Mus musculus: one gene and its partners. The protein of the gene in region 3 interacts with the protein of the main gene of each other region in a pairwise test. Links are inferred from orthologs where the notes say so. Each region holds a gene or a part of one and is shown on either strand. Other genes may lie near its edges.

The links. The genes of interacting proteins can lie anywhere in the genome.
Region 1: the proteins of Crx (region 3) and Ppp1r16b interact in binary tests that used the Homo sapiens proteins (3 or more experiments, as listed by UniProt). The two-hybrid records come from large-scale screens. The link is inferred for Mus musculus from reciprocal best matches to the Homo sapiens genes CRX and PPP1R16B.
Region 2: the proteins of Crx (region 3) and Abi2 interact in binary tests that used the Homo sapiens proteins (3 or more experiments, as listed by UniProt). The link is inferred for Mus musculus from reciprocal best matches to the Homo sapiens genes CRX and ABI2.

The regions. Positions count from the first base shown.
Region 1 is NC_000068.7:158,752,889-158,757,634, reverse strand, and holds part of Ppp1r16b (protein phosphatase 1 regulatory inhibitor subunit 16B), read right to left. Parts: intron 2,492-4,746; coding exon 2,366-2,491; intron 1,823-2,365; coding exon 1,747-1,822; intron 716-1,746; coding exon 586-715; intron 498-585; coding exon 329-497; intron 1-328. UniProt on the Homo sapiens protein: Regulator of protein phosphatase 1 (PP1) that acts as a positive regulator of pulmonary endothelial cell (EC) barrier function. Involved in the regulation of the PI3K/AKT signaling pathway, angiogenesis and endothelial cell proliferation.
Region 2 is NC_000067.6:60,435,873-60,440,618, forward strand, and holds part of Abi2 (abl interactor 2), read left to right. Parts: intron 1-1,183; coding exon 1,184-1,360; intron 1,361-3,069; coding exon 3,070-3,087; intron 3,088-4,746. UniProt on the Homo sapiens protein: Regulator of actin cytoskeleton dynamics underlying cell motility and adhesion. Functions as a component of the WAVE complex, which activates actin nucleating machinery Arp2/3 to drive lamellipodia formation.
Region 3 is NC_000073.6:15,875,865-15,882,652, forward strand, and holds the start of Crx (cone-rod homeobox protein), read right to left. Parts: upstream 4,092-6,788; 5' UTR 3,952-4,091; intron 1-3,951. UniProt on the Homo sapiens protein: Transcription factor that binds and transactivates the sequence 5'-TAATC[CA]-3' which is found upstream of several photoreceptor-specific genes, including the opsin genes.

The sequences.
Region 1 (4,746 bases), on a different chromosome or scaffold from region 3:
CCCTTAGCTCCTAGGGGAACTAATCTGCCAAGACTCTCTTCTGGAGAACTCAAAACCAGATCTACTTGGGGACAGGCAGGCTGAGGGCAGTCTCTGTCTCTGCCACTTATGAAGCCATCGCATGTGAAAAGGTGTCAGTTCTAACTAATGTACCCACGGGTCACATTCTTAACATTAACATTAGCCACCAGACAGGAGCCAGCTGCTTAAGGGCATCGCCCAGCTATTTCTTTTCTGAGCTCCCCAGGTGAGGAGGTAGGACCAAGCTGGGCCCTGTTCTCTTCCCAAGTCAGTGGCCAACACTGAGGCAGGGCAGGAGGTCCCTCACCGGGTCCTTGTTCTCCTGGTCTGTCCTGGTCTCCCTGATGTCTCCATTGTAGGTTGAAGTCCGCTGGTCCTCAGCTGCACTCCGCTGCTGCCACAAGATGGCCTCGCCCTCATATTCTTTCCGGTATAGGTTGGTTCTGTCTGACAGGCTGGCTCGACGCACCACCTTCCTGAGGAGGACAAAGGAGGTGCTAGGTAGCTGTGATCAGGAGCCATGGGCAGGCATGTACAGGGGCCCCAGCTGCCTGTACCACTCACCCACGGCTGCCCGCGCTGGATGTCCTCCGGCTCAGGGACGACTTGTGCCTCAGCTGCGACTTCATGATCACATCATGCTTGTGTTTCAGCTCCAACAGCAGGACCTTGAATTCCTCCTCCTCACACAGGTCTGAGGGAATACAAGAATCAGTTGCAGAAGGCAGGATAGGGACTCTGGACCACAGGGGCCACCCATGCAAACCCACCAGAAGCTCTGAGAACCTTCTGGGGGCACAGACGGAACAAGGAAAGCAACCCCTGCTTATTGCCTTTGAGGGATGTGAAAATGAGAGACTTGAGCTCCTAACTCCTGAAGTTCCCGGCTAAGACTGAGAGGCTCAGATGGTAGGTTTTGTCAACACAAACCTGAGCATATCTGGAAAGAGGGAATCTCAATTGAGGAACTGTCTCTAGTAGAGTGCCCTTTGAGCAAGTCTATGGGGGCATTTTCTTGATTAAGGATTGATCTGGGAGGGGCCGTCTGCTGTGAGCCATGCCACCCTTGGAGAATTGGGCCTGGGTTGTATAACAAAGTGGTGCAGGGGGTCTGGGGGGGGGCAAGCCATAGGAGCAAGTCAGTAAGCAGACTCCTCCCATGGCCATCAGTCCTGCCTTGAGTTTCCTCAGTGATGAACTGTGATAAGGACTCGTAAGCCAAATGAACCCTTTCCTTCCCAAGTTGCTTTTGGTCAGTGTTTTATCACAGCCACACAAAAGCTAACGAGGACACATACCCTTGATAGTCTCTGGGAGAGTTAGCAAGTCTCCCTGATCTGAGCATTGAGAGAAACAAGCAGATTCCACAGGCAGGAAATGAAGTAATGCTGAGAAATCCCCACTGAGTAGAGGGGTTCACCAGTCAATCCACTGAACCCCTCTATCCATCTACTGGCTAACCTGGTCATCCATCCATTGACTCATCCCCAGTCTGCCTGTCTACTTATGTATCCATCCGCCTACACATCCATCAATATATCCCACATCACATTTCCTGTCTAAACTATGCATCCATCTATGTATGTATGTATGTATGCATGTATGCATGCATGTATGTATTTGTCTACCTACCTACCTATCTATGCAGCCACATGTTCAACCAATGTCCACTCACCATCAAAAGAACTGGTAAGTATGTATGTACTAAGTATGAAGCTGCCTTACCTATTGGCATCTCATCCATGGATGTCCTGGCACTGAGACTAGCTCCATGGGACACCAGCAGCTCTGCCATTGGCATCTGCAACACAAGAAGAAGTTCATGTCCCCCATACCCAGGACTCAGGAAACCTAAGAGTTGGAGAGCAAGCCCAAGACCTCTTAGAATGTGACCCAAAGAATGGTGGAGGAAAGGTGATCCCCAGGGAAGGCCCTGGGCCATGGAGCCAAGAGAGAGCCCTGTCAGAAGTGATGGGCTTGGCACCTCCTCCCATCATCCCTGGGTTACTATGAGGAGAAGCAACAGGAGGAGTCGGTTGTAATTCCACAGCTGTTGGGTATGGATGGATGGCTGCACAGGCTGAAATCACATCTGGGAAACACTCTAGAGAAACCATGCAAAGCAGACACCAAGGGGGTTTTCTACTGGACAGATTTGATTCTCATCCTGTTAGGATGCAATTGGCCATTGTGTCTGCAACCCACCCCAGTCTTCTCATCTCCCACATTCATTGTACCCAGTGGCTAAGTGGGTCCTAGCTCTCCTGCACCAAATGCCAGCCCAAAGGACTCAGTATCAGCAGTTTTACCTTGTGCCTGACAAGGTACAGTGGGTGGGAAGTACCTGTCCCCAGAAGGCTGCTGCATGCAGAGGCTCCCAGCCATCCCAGTCCTTCACATCCACACGCACTCCATGGTCCAGGAGGAGCTCGGCTGCTCGCAGATATCCATTGGCTCCAGCTATGTGTAGCTGGAAGAGAGGAAAGAAGTCGGCATTCCTAAGAGAGCTGGCTCCACAATTAGAGGCAGAGTATCCTTTCTCACCCGAAGCCTCAGAGCATCCTTGGGATCAAAGAACGGGACAGAATGAGGTAGAAACACCAGCCAGGAAGGTTGCAGGGGATTGCTACGTGTGAAATAAAGAAGTAGAACGGTGAAGTGAGACAGGCTCTTCACCTAGCCCTGAAGAAGGCATCCCAAAGGTCCAAAATGGTCATTTGAAAATGTACCTACCTATTTTTTGACTTATCTTTCTTTTAAATGTAGAATCTGGTTGCTCTGCCTTTGAACATACACGGATTGAGTGAGTCATTTCTAACCAAGAGGATATTACAAAGTGGTGACAGTATATGATTTCTGAGGCTGGAGCATGAAAAGTGTAGCTGCTTCTACCTCTTAGATTCATCTGGGAGGAGGCAGCCACCTCGGGTAGCACTGAGGAGAAGTTGTAAGGCGGCAAGAAACTGAGGACTTCTGCCAGCTGCCAACACTAATGTCATTTGTTCGTGGGAACCACCATGAAGGAGACCAACCTCAAATGTGACTTCAACCCTGGTCAACCCCATGGGAAATGCCAGGTCGGAGTCACCCAGTTAAGCCATTCTTAATCTCCCACAGAAACGTTGTGTTTATATTGGAAATTAGATTTGTGCTTACATGGGAATCCATACATCCTTTGTGGGTCCCTGCCAATATTTGGTTTTCTGGTCAATAAAGAGCCAGTGGCCAATGGCTGGGCAGGGGACAGAGGTGGGACTTTTAAGATACCTGGGCAAGAAACAGTAGTGGGAGAAGAGTCTGCCATGAGAGGGATGTAGGATAGACCATGACACCTGCGAAGGAGTGAGAGACTGAAATGGCCAAAATGTAGGTGCAAAGGGAAAGTGGCCCCATGGGAGGGCTGCCCAGAAAGAAACAGGGCAGCAAAGATAAAACAGAGATTTAGAAAATGTTAACTCAGGAGTATCTGAGGGGTGTGTGTGCTAGCCTGGGGAGGTGCCCAACCATTGAGCTAATCAAGGCATATTAAATATAAAGGTTGTGAGTCCATGCTTTTTATTTGCAAATCCAGAATTCTTGGGCATGTGCAGTTCTGCACATGCACCCACTGGGAGCTTAGAGTGAACTTTAAATATTTATTGCTACATCTCTACTATAAAGAATCTACCCTGTAGGGTTGGTTGTCATATAGCAATAGGCAATTGATAACTGTAATGGGAAGACTCACACTGCCTATGCTGAGGTCCCAGCTAGTTTGTTTGCTCATTCATTCATTCATTTATTCATTCATTTAGTTAATTAGAAAAAGTCTTATTTTGTAGCCCAACATAGCCTCATCTTGCAACAGTTCTTCTGCTTCAGCTTTTACAAGTACTGGGATTACAGGCATAAGCCACCACTGAGGCTGAGGCCTTAACTCTTCTATTCAGCACCATTGGAGGTTGCCTGTCATGGCTGCCACCAGCAGACCTCAGTTGTCCCACTTGTTTGATCCCTCAGAAAGGAAAGTGCTTAGCACTGGGTGGTGAGCATGGCAGCAGGGTCTGTCCTGAGGATGAGGGAAGGAAGGAGAAGTTGGGACGAAGAGAAGCCACTGTTCAGCCACAGAGAGGGACAGAAGTGACAGTCTAGAAAGGACAACTGAAGACTGGGAATGATCCAGAGGATGGGAAGGGTCAGTGATGGAAGTCACTGGGAAACCTAAGTCATAGCTCAGGTTAGGATGTGGCCCTGATGGTCACGTGTTTCCTCCATGGAGAGGCTGCTCCAGGGTCCTGATAAGGTCAGGATTTCCCTTTTTAATTTTCAGAGTAAATCTATGGTATGACGTCTAATTTATATGTCTGATGCTTGCCAGTTGTGAAGAATAGAATCTGCTGGCCAGCCAGATACCTCAAAGCACAGGGTCACAGCAGGTACTTAGCCAGGAACTAAAAAGTATGATTCATCTAGGGATATTGCTAATGAGGAGGAGGAAGGTTGCTGGAGCATGTTGACTCTTGCCTGGAGTCCCATCACTTGGAAGACAGAGGCAAAAGGATCACGGGCTCAATGTCAGAAGTATAGCATTTGCTTAATGAACACGAAGAGAGACAGAGACAGAGATGGGAAGGAAATTGTTATCAGTATATACTGAGTCTTCAAATTGTGCTCAAAACCTGCTGAATGTCATTCAGTCCTCCCAGCTGTCCCATGAGGAAGACACTATTACCACCAATGTTGCAG
Region 2 (4,746 bases), on a different chromosome or scaffold from region 3:
TAAAGAATATAAATAAAAATATTATTTGTACTATGAATGTGAGCACTTGATAAATTCTAATGAAATATGTGATCAATGTTGTGTTAATAAGATGTAAGCAACTTGCTGAAGCTAACAAGCTTTTCTGTCAAATGATGGTTTTGAAGGGAGGAGGTGGATGCTGGGAATTACGTCAGGGACTTGTAAATGTTAGGCAAATGGTATACTCCCTCACTCTACCCCTTGATCCCCATTTGTAATATTTATATTTTAGTCTTGTTCCTTCTTTGTAGTATTTAAATAATATTAGATTATACTAATATGTTTTTTAAAAATATAACAAGACTATTCTCTGCTGTTTCTTTGTTTTTTGTTTTTATTGTTTGTTTTTTGAGATAGGGTCCCTCCACATAGTCCTGGCTGTCTTTGAACTCTCTATGTAGAGCAGGCAAGCTGGCCTCAAACTTAAAAGATCTATCTGCCTCAGCCTCTTAAGTGCTGGAATTAAAGTCATTTACCACCATGCCTGGCTTCTTATTTTATTTATATTAATTTATTTATTTTTCTTTTCTGTTGAAAATGATCACTCTGGCTTGGAGAAATGATTCAGTTGCTCCAGTCTTTGCTGCACATCCATAAGGCCTTGAGTTCTGTCCCCAAGCCCATGGAAAAAGATGGGTGTAGTGTGCACTTGGAATCTTCATGCCAGGCGGCAGAAACAAACAGGTGCCTGGGACTAGGTGGTCAGCCAGCTCAGACACATTAGTAAGACCTGTGTCCTAGTGGGAGACTCAAATAAACAAGGGAGGCAGCTTATGGAAAATGATACTCAAAGTGGACCTCTGGTTTCCATATGCACAAGCATGTATATACATATGTACACCCCTTCCATGTGAACACACACACTAGCACCTATATGTGTGTACATATTTGTATAGGTATTTGTGCAGACATGTACACATGCACATTCTAAGTTCTGCTCTTGTGGGCTGTAAAAATCAGGTGATGTTCCAGGTTATATTTGAAGGCATGCTTTGGTGACCCTTGCATTAGGTTAAAAATGAATAAAGACAATAGTCTAGAGAAAAGGTGGTTTATGAAATGAATACGAAGGATTGTTGAATCTCTAGGCATTTGGTTATTATTTATTTGGATACCAGGGCTATCTGTCTTTGTGTTGTCTTATTTATATTATATCTTACAGACAGTTGATATTCATAAAGAGAAGGTTGCAAGAAGAGAAATTGGTATTTTGACCACCAATAAAAACACTTCAAGGACCCATAAGATTATTGCGCCAGCCAACCTTGAGCGGCCAGTTCGTTATATTCGAAAACCTATTGACTACACAATTTTAGATGACATTGGACATGGAGTGAAGGTAGGTGTAGTTTCTGTCAAGCTTTCTAAAGCTCTAATGGAACCCTAGGAAATTAAAGTTCATTTAATTGCCTGAAGGACCAACTCTTGGCACAGTTGTGGTTGTGAAGGTTGCTTACTATTGTTGTGTCCTCCTTATGTTTTCTTTACTGTTACCTTTCAAACCAGTTATCTTCTAATGGTATTTGCTTAGTTAATCACTAGATCAATTAGCGTATGGTATAGTGGTTCTAATCTTTTAATGATTTAGTAATGATAGGAAAAAAATCCAGCATATTATTAAAATGTTTTTCTTATCTCAAAAATATGTCAGCAGATTTTTGGCATTAGTTTTCAGAACAGCATATGTTACTAAATATGAATTTGAATTTTTTTCTAGAATAATTTTATCTCAACCTTTTGGATGAGAATAGTGGAGCTAAAAATTGTAAATTTATTTGTGGTGACTTTAAATTTATAACATTTTATATTTTGGTCACCTTTTAAAGATGCATTTGTGTATCTAGTATGTATATGAAGTGGCATCATCAAAGCTCTATAGTATTGGGGATGTGGGGCAGTAGTAGAGCAGGAGCTTTCTCACACACAGCCCCGCGCTCTAGCACTGCGAGTCAGCACACCTGCTAGCTGTTAGGGGGCAGGGGGGACAGTGTTCTTCTACTGAGGTGATTCTTACAGTTAAGAGACCATTCAGAGCTTCAGCTAAGTACATTATTTACAGTTTATATTTTAGTAGTGATTGTCAAATTTACATAAGTATGACTTGCAATAATTCTATACCTATCTTATAGCTATATAATTCATATATATGATATTTTTCTAATATAAGCCTATTTAAAATGTACACCACCATTTTGGTCAGAAATCAGTAAGTTTGTGTGAAAATAAAACATGCAGTATAAATTTATAAAACAACTTTTATTTTAGAGGGCTTTTGATTTTTTTTTTTTATTTTTTTAGATAGATTCTCACTCTTTTGGCCTTGGCTGGCCTGGAACTCATTGTGTAGGGCAGGCTGGCCTTGAACTCACAGAGATCAGCCTGCCTCTGCCTCCAGAGTGCTGAGTTTAAAGGTGTGTACCTCTATACCCCACTTATTGAGAGTTTTGAAAAAGCATAATTATCTGGAACTTGATATTTAATTTTATAGTTGATTCCTATATATGTATTTCAATGACTAATTAAAGCATATTAAAATAAGATATGTGAGTAGATGGATAATTAAACTGTAATTTGTTTTAACCTGGGGAAACAAGTTTGTTGTTGAAGACGTACAGGTGCTAATAGAATGTTATAGGCTGCTACCAGAATCTGTTGCCAAATGATACTTGGAATATAGATTTGTGTTTGCCTGTTTATATAATAAAAAGGTGATTTTTTTTGTATAATTAGTTTTTAATACTTAAAATATTTTTCTTTTAGGATTGTACTCTCTGTTGTTTGTACTGTAGTGTTCGCTAATTTAAAGAACTCTTTAACGGAATTAAAGTTTTGAATAAAACAGTCTTATATCATCAACGAAACTTCTGTCCATGACACATCTGCTTTAACCACTCTTTCTATAATCTACTGAAACATTATTTTGTTAATGCTGATTGCTTAACTTGTTTTTCTTTGTTTTCTTTTTTTTGTCTTCACATCCTGAAGTTCCAACTAACCTTTCAATGCTTTTCTTCCTTACCTCTTTATTTGCTCCATTTATGCATTAAGTGGTTGCTTAGATTTAAGGTAAGAGATTCCAGGGCTGGATTTCCATTCTATGTTCTTATGTAGAATATTACATATGGGGAGTAAAGACATATTTTCCATTTGGCCTTTTAAAACCAACAAATTAGTTATTTATTTATTCAGGTCTGACGACTTTATTGTGTGTCTTCATGTTTCCTGAGGGTAGATATTTTTGTACATTTTGTTCATTACCCTGTTCTTTGTGCCTAGAACAGTACCAAATACACATTAGGTATTAGTATCTCAAGTATTTGCTGAATGGATGGGTGCTTTTGTGAAACTGAATTATAAATTGTATTGTTATAAAGTGTTAATAAGATGAAATTGCTAGATTTTTTTATAAATGTTGAAATTTTGTTATTGATTGGAGGGCCAACTAATATGCTCTATTTAACCCTCCCCCTGTGTAATAACTTTTTATTCTATAAATGGTGTGCTTAATTATATGGTTTGTTGACAGTATGTCATTATCTTTTGACTTCTAATTTAAAAGTTGAGAAGCAAAAAAATATGTCATAATGCCTTTTTTAAGTTGCAGTACATTTTAGAAAGGAATTAGTCTTTTTAAAATGTTTGTATAAAATATACTTCAATACAATCTCACCGTCTTTTTAAAAGTGAATATTATTTGTATATAGAACATCCAAAGTTTATGATAATGCTTAAGAAATACAAATTAAGAACTAGAGAGGAGGTCACAGTGCTAGAACACTTGCCTAGAATGTACAAGACCCTGGTTCAGTAGAAACCAGTAAACCTACCAAATAGAAATCCCACACAACCAAAATAAACCTGGTGCTGTTTAGTGAAGGGGCCATGATGAAAGCATTTCGGGTGGTTCAGGAAGCCTGTCAGATACTAAGAGGATTTTCATCAGTTCTTGCCATTTCTTCTTTCTTTTGTTTTTTATCAAGTCAGGGTCTCTTTGCTGTCCTGGAACTTTTTCTGTCTAGAGACCATGCTCAGCTTCAGAGCCCCACCTGCCTCCGCCTCCTGTGTGCTGGACTAAAGGCCTGTGTCCTGCTGCCCAGCAGCCCATCTCTTCTTCCTTAGACAAGTTGTCTGATTTCTTTTCAAATATGTATTTGCTTTGCAGTTTGCTATATCTTTGGTGTAGTCAGTGATAATCAGGAGATAAGATGACTGTATTACTTAGTATTAACCATGGCCACAAAACTTTTGCCTGATCATGGCAGGTGGTTCTGAAAAAGGAAATAAAGCCACTGGAAAATAGGTTCTAAGCTCTTACCTTGCTGGTAACCCAGGAATTTGGAATTGTGGGAAGGTTTCTTCTGTTTAAAACGGCCAAATTACAGTGAACTAGACTAAAAAAAAAGCAGGCAGTATTCAAATTTAGTTCTTGCTCTGTTAACCTAAAATGTGGTGACAGAAGAAATCGATCCTTTGCTCTTACTGGCTAGCCTGTTGTCCGCCATCTCCCATGCTTCTTTGCTCTAGGATTTGCGGTGTCTCTCCCTTGACTTGAAAGTCTGCTTCACATAAGAGAAAGGTCCCCTGAGGGCTGCCTAAAAGATCTCACAGGAACTATGCTGGAAGAAGATGCCTCAATGTTTTGTTGGTTTTGTTTGTTTGTTTGTTTGTTTTCCTCTTAGAACCAGAAAGTTTCACAGTAGAATCCCAACAGATTGTACTACTCTA
Region 3 (6,788 bases):
GCCTTGAATGTGCAAAGCCCCTGTTGTTCAGTCCCCAACATCACATAAACTGGGTATGGTGGCACACACCTGTAATTCTACAGTTCAGAAGGTGGAGGCTTGGAGGGTCAATGACATTCTAGGCTACTTATGATGTTAGAGGCTACCCTGGGATACATGGGACCTTGTCTAGAAAGTAAGGTGGGGTGGGAACAGAAGAAATGGTTAAGTGGACAAGAGTGCTTACTGCAAAAGCATGAGGACCTGAGTCCACATTTGTAGCTACCATGTAAAAAGCCAGGCGTGGCTTTGTGTGCCTGTAACTACAGCCTTAGGAAGGGCAGAAACGGGTGGATCCCAAGAGCAAGCTACGCAGCCAGCCTTGTCAAAATGTCCTGTGCCTAGTTCACTGAGAGACTTTGTCTGAAAGCAACAAGGCAGAGGGAATGGAGGTAAACATTGATGTTACAGAAGTGGATGCCCACAGTCAGCTAATGGATGGATCACAGGGCTCCCAATGGAGGAGCTAGAGAAAGTACCCAAGGAGCTAAAGGGATCTGCAACCCTATAGGTGGATCAACATTATGAACTAACCAGTACCCCGGAGCTCTTGACTCTAGCTGCATATGTATCAAAAGATGGCCTAGTCGGCCATCACTGGAAAGAGAGGCCCATTGGACACACAAACTTTATATGCCCCAGAACAGGGGAACACCAGGGCCAAAAAGGGGGAGTGGGCGGGTAGGGGAGTGGGGGTGGGTGGGTATGGGGGACTTTTGGTATAGCATTGGAAATGTAAATGAGCTAAATACCTAATAAAAAATGGAAAGAAAAAAAAAACATTGATGTTATCCTCTGTCCTCTACATATGCAGGCGTATTCAAAAATACACGCACACTTACATGCATACATCACACACACACACAAGAAGAAACAGTAACATCATGACGCACTCCTGTAATCCCAGGACTCTGGAGGTGGAAGTAGAAGGATCAGAAGTAGTCTGGTCTGCAGAATGAGTTCCAGGACAGCCAAGTGCTACACAGAGAAACTCAGTTTCAAAAGACCAAACCAGAGCCGGGCGTGGTGGCACACACCTTTAATCCCAGCACTTGGGAGGCAGAGGCAGGTGAATTTCGAGGCCAGCCTGGTCTATGGTCTACAGTGTGAGTTCCAGGACAGCCAGACAGCCAGAACTACACAGAGAAACCCTGTCTCAAAAAACAAACAAAAAAACAAAAAAAACCAGGGTTGGCAAGATGGCTCAGCAGGTAAGAGCACTGACTGCTCTTCCAAAGGTTCTGAGTTCAAATTCCAGCAACCACATGGTGGCTCACATCCACCTGTAATGAGATCTGATGCCTTCTTCTGACATGTCTGAAGACAGCTACAGTGTAGTTATGTATAATAATAAATAAATCTTTGGACCAGAGAGAGCAGGGTTAACTGGGGAGCAGAGATCCTAAAAATTCAATCCCATCTGTTCGGCTACAGTGTACCCATAAAAGTAAATTAAATAAATAAATCTTTTTAAAAGATAGATAGATAGATAGATAGATAGATAGATAGATAGATAGATAGATAGATAGACAGACAGATGCAACAGTAATATCAAACTTTGCTGTTTCTGGGATTTTTTTTTTGTTACTCTCTTTGTGTTGGTGTTTTTGTATATGAGTGTTTTGTCTGCATGTATTTCTATGAACACAAACACACCTGGTACCATCAGAAGAAGCCAGAAAGCAGTATTGGGTGCCCTGGAACCATAATTACAAACAGCTGTGAGCCCCCCTGTGGGTGCTTGGAATGGGAATCCAGGTCTCCCTGAAGAGCAGCCAGTACTCTTAACCACTGAGCCAGCCAACTCCCACATTTTTATAAAGACAAGGTTTCCCTTTGATATAAAGTTTATGAAGTCCTGGCTAGCCTAGAAATTACTCTGTAGGCCAGGCTGGCCTCAAACCAACAGTGATCTGCCTGCCTCTACCTTCCGAATGCTAGAATTTAAAGGCATATACCACTATGTCCTGCTACATGTCTCTGTAATTTTTTGGACCACAGACACTACAAGAGTTGCCTCAGCCATTGAGGAAAAAATAAACAAAAAAATGTCAGTAATATTGGTGTTTTCCTTCAAAACTCAACGTCTGTAACTTGCGTCCTTAGAAACATTAGCCATCAGCCCTGCTCTCGACCTCAGAGAAAGAATTCCAGTTTACTATGTTGAGCTGGCATTGAACAGAAATTAGCAGCCACATTGGCCTCAAAATGTTCAGCTCAATGCAGGAGCTGGACCTAGACCCACACATCTGTAGCAAATGTGCAACTTGGTGTTCGTGTGGTTCTTCTATCAAGTGGAACAGGGGCTGTCTCGGTTTCTGTTCCCTGCCATTGGATCCCCTTCCCCACTGTTTGGACTCCCTGGATGAGGCTCAGTGGGTCAGGATGTTCCTAGAACTGCTGAAATGTCCCAGAGTGGGGTGGTATCCAAGGGAGTCTCCCCTTCTTGAGGGAGAAGGGGGAGGAGAAAAGAGAGAAGGGATATGTGAGGAGGAAGACAGGAGGGAGAGGAGCTGTGATCCAAATGTAAAGTGAATAAAAATATAAATAGTTTTGAAAAAAGAGAAAAATGTTAAGTGTAATTTTTTTCCCATTTGTATGTGAGCAAATAGCTGTGTAGAACATGTTAGCGCTTATCTTTTGACTGAGCTACAGCCCCAGCCCGTGTTTTAACTAATAAACAATCTAATAGGACAGGGATCCATCCTGTCAACAGTCAAATAGCACCCAAGTGCCAGGCAGTGAAAAGAACCAGCGTTCTCCAGGGAGAGATGATCTATGTATTGGTATATACACAAACGAAGAGGAAATCTCAGGGGCCACAGGAGGGATCAACCATAAAGACACTTGCCACCAAGCCTAAAACCCTGAGTTTGATTCCTAAGAATCAAACATGGTGGAAGCAGAGAACTGACTCAGACTCCAGCAAGTTGTCATCTGACTTCAACAAAGGAGTCAGAAGACACACACACACTAAATATATATGCATGTATACTTATATAATGAATATATACCTTACAAACAGAGAAGAAAAATCACAAAGAGTTAAAAAAAAAAACAAGCGGGAGCAGTAGTACACGGGATCAGGAGTTCAAGACCAGCCTCTGTTACGGAACAAGTTCAAGACCACTCTATGCTCCAAAAGACTCCCTCTCAAAAAACATAAATTAAATGTAAAAGGTTTCTTTCGGGGGAATGGGGAGAAGACTCAACAGATAAAGCACTGTCTGTGCATACGTGAGGATCTGAGTTCAGAACCCCAGCACCCAGATAAAAGCTGGGCACACTATAACCCCAGCATTGGGGGAACAGGGACAAACAGATACACAGGGCTCACTGTCCAGCCAGCCTCTGCTCCACAGGGAGATCCAGGTTCAGTGAAAGACCTTGTCTGAAATAGGCTGGGTGTGGTGGTGAACACCTTTAACCTTAAGTACTTGGGTGGCAGGGGCAGGAAGATCCATCAGATGAAGGCCAGCCTGGTCTACATAGAGAGGTCTAGGAAAAAATAGCAAATGGAAGTATTTAGGAAGACAACCAGTATGTCTATCTCTGTCCTCCGAGGTTGCTCTCTCACATGGACACACACACACATTGTAGACATACATACACACAAACACATGAACATGCTCACACACCATGGATGTGTGCTTAGATGAGACATTCCACCTCTGAATGTCCTCAGAGTATAAAATCCATTCATCCTAAAGCCACTCCTGGATCCCAACAACTAGTCCCCAACTGGTATGACTTTACTCCCTCCTATCATGGTCCTAAGTGACCTGTTTCCCTGAACACCTGCTGGAATCTCTACCCTATGTTAATCTGTTCAGAAAGCATCACAAGACCCATCTTCATGTCAAACATGGGTGAGAATAAAATATTCTCGCAGCCTCTCCTGGAAAGACTCACCTTTGGAAAGGAGAAATGGGGACTCTCCTGGATGTTCAGGTACTGGATGGTGTCATCAGACAGCAGAGGCTAGAGGAAATAGGTCCCCTCACACGGGGCGACTTTAAGCCTGGGCTGGGAGTGATGTCATCTATTGTGGCCTGGATCTGGAAGGGTAATCCCAGGGAAGGTGGGGGACTCACTGGGCAACAGGAGGTGACATTGGCTGGGGGAAGGGCACCGTCTGCTTAATCCCACCACCCCCACAGTGACATCTTGGCAATTAGGGTTGATGAAGAAGGGAGGGAAAGCCCAACTCCTGCCTGCAACCAGGAGCCCCCACTTCTCAGGGAAGTCTTTCCTTGGGTCTAAAGGGTATTCCTCCAGCTTCAGCTACTATCTGAAAAGAAATGTCTTCAAAAGCACAGAAAGAAGTGTACAGTGCTCCTGGGAGACAGAAAAGAAAGGCACAGGACTTCCTGGGTTGTTCTTTGTGGCCCAGGCTAGTATTGAACTTTTAAGTCTTCTGACACAGCTAGAATAACTGGGAAGAGAGATCTGTGACCCCACTGAGTGAACTAATTCAAATGTGTAGTTCTTGATGGTTCTCCCTTTTTCTGCCTCAGTTTCTCTCTCTTTCTCTGTGCCTCTCTGTCTTTCTCCCTTCTTCCCTCACTTCCTCAGGGCTCTCTATATCTCTGTCTCCCCATTGCTCTGTATCTTCTCCATTGCCTCTAGTCTCTGCTTCTCTATCTTCATCACTATTTCAGACCCTGCCTCTCTGAGTTTCTTTGTGTCTTTGTCTCTATGCCTCTCCCTGAGTTTCTATGTCTCTGTCAATCTCTGCCTGTGTCTCTGTTAGACTCTCTGTCTCCCACTGTCTCTCTGTCTCTCTGTTAGTCTCCATCTGTGTCGGACTCTACCTCTACTCTCTGTCTCCCGCTATCTCTCTGTCTCTGGCTGTCTCTCTGCAGCTCTGGTTCTGGCTCTTTTCCTCCCTGTCTCTCTTTCTCTCTGTCTTTTTATCTCTGAGTGTCTCTGTATGTCTGACTCTTTCTCTCTGTGTCTCTCTTGTTTAGATTTGTTTATTGATTATACATACATGGATATTGTGCCTGCACCCACGTGTTCACACACAGTGAGTGCCTGATGCCTGAAGAGACCAGAAGAGGGCATCAGATGCCCTGGACCGGGAATTACAGGTTATAAGCCACCATTAAGTATTGAGAATGGAGCCCTGGTCCTCCTGGAGAGCCCCAGTGCTCTTAACCACAGAGCCATCCCTCCAGCCCTTCACCTTGTCTCTGACTCTGTCCCTAGTTCCCTTTGTAAGGCAAGTTTGCATTCTCTCATTGTCTCCCTCTGTGTCTCCCTCCTTTGTCGTTCTGCCACTGTCTGTGGGTCCCTTCCTGGATTTGAGACCCTTCTGCCTGTCCACCTAAGCCTGAGGCTACAGCCTGGTCTCAGAGCCTCTGCTTGCTTCCTGCAATCCTTGAGCTGAAATGAAGGTTCCATTGCTACTCCACGCATACACATCTTCCTGCCATCTCTCTCTCCCCCTCAGTAATTCCCTCCCCCTCTGTCCCTCCCCTCATCTCTCTAGGTATTAATATCACTTCGAGTCCCATTCCCCACTCAAATTGGTTCTGCTTCTCTAAACACCGGGCCGTGCACTCACAGGCACACACAGCCACACGCACACTCTAATCCCTGCTCACCACTGGGTCACTGCTTGTCAGGAGGGGACCTCCCCTCTGTCCCCTATCCCCAGCCCCCTGCTAGGAGAGATTAGGGCCTCTGGGCCAGAAAGGGAATCAGAGCAGATCTCATTAGTAGAATGACACAAAGGAGGAGTTGTCTGACGCTCTCTGAAGCTTGACAGGAGGCTCAGGCCCACGTTTTTGCTCAGCCCAGTAGGAAGGCTAAACTATGCAGACGGGGTTAGGAAACAATCCTTCAGGCCAGGGGCCTCATCTTTAGATTTCTAGCCTAAAGTCCTACAGAATGCATGTGACGAGCGGGTTTTCTGGTTTAGTTTTGGAGGGTTGATTTTTGTTGTTGTTGTTGTTGTTGTTGTTGTTGTTGTTGTTGTTGTTGTTGTTGTTTTGAGGGGGTCCGTATTTTGTTTTTTGTTTGGGATTGTTGTTGTTTTGTTTTGTTTTTTCGAGATAGGGTTTCTCTGTGTAAAGAGCCATGGCTGTCCTATACTTGTTCTGTAGACCAGGCTGGCCTCAAACCCACATAGATCCACTTGCCCCTGCCTCCCAGTGCTGGGAATAAAGGCGTGCATCAACAAGCCCCACCTTGTTTAGATTTTTTTGTTTTTGCTTTTGTTTTAGAAAACTTGAAAGACTGGGACTAAAAGGCCTGGCAAGAGCAAGGTTCTAGGTTCAATCTCTACATTGTGTGTGTGTGTGGGGGGGGGGGTACCTAACTTGGCTCTCCCTCAGGATCACCCTAGCTCTAGATGCCTCTACCCAAATAATTGAAATGTGTCCCCTCTCTATAGGGACTGTCTTTTCATCCATAATTATGAATTCATGACATGTCTGAATTGGTTTAACTACATTGTTTGTTTGTTTGTTTGTTTGTTTGTTTGTTTGTGGAAAGCAGGATGTTCACATGGAAGAGACGAAAGACAACCTGCAGAAGCCGGTTCTATTCTTCCACCATGGGGACCTGGGGATACTTGGTGGCAAGTACTTTTTACCTGCTGAGCCACCTTGCTGGCCTGGCACTTGTGTTCAGTGGGACACTGATGAAGGCTGAGAGAATGAGTGAGACTGACTGGAATAGATGAGGAAACCTCCCTGGTGGTTCTGGGAGCTCCTATGGTGTCACTGGGAAGCATGGAGGAG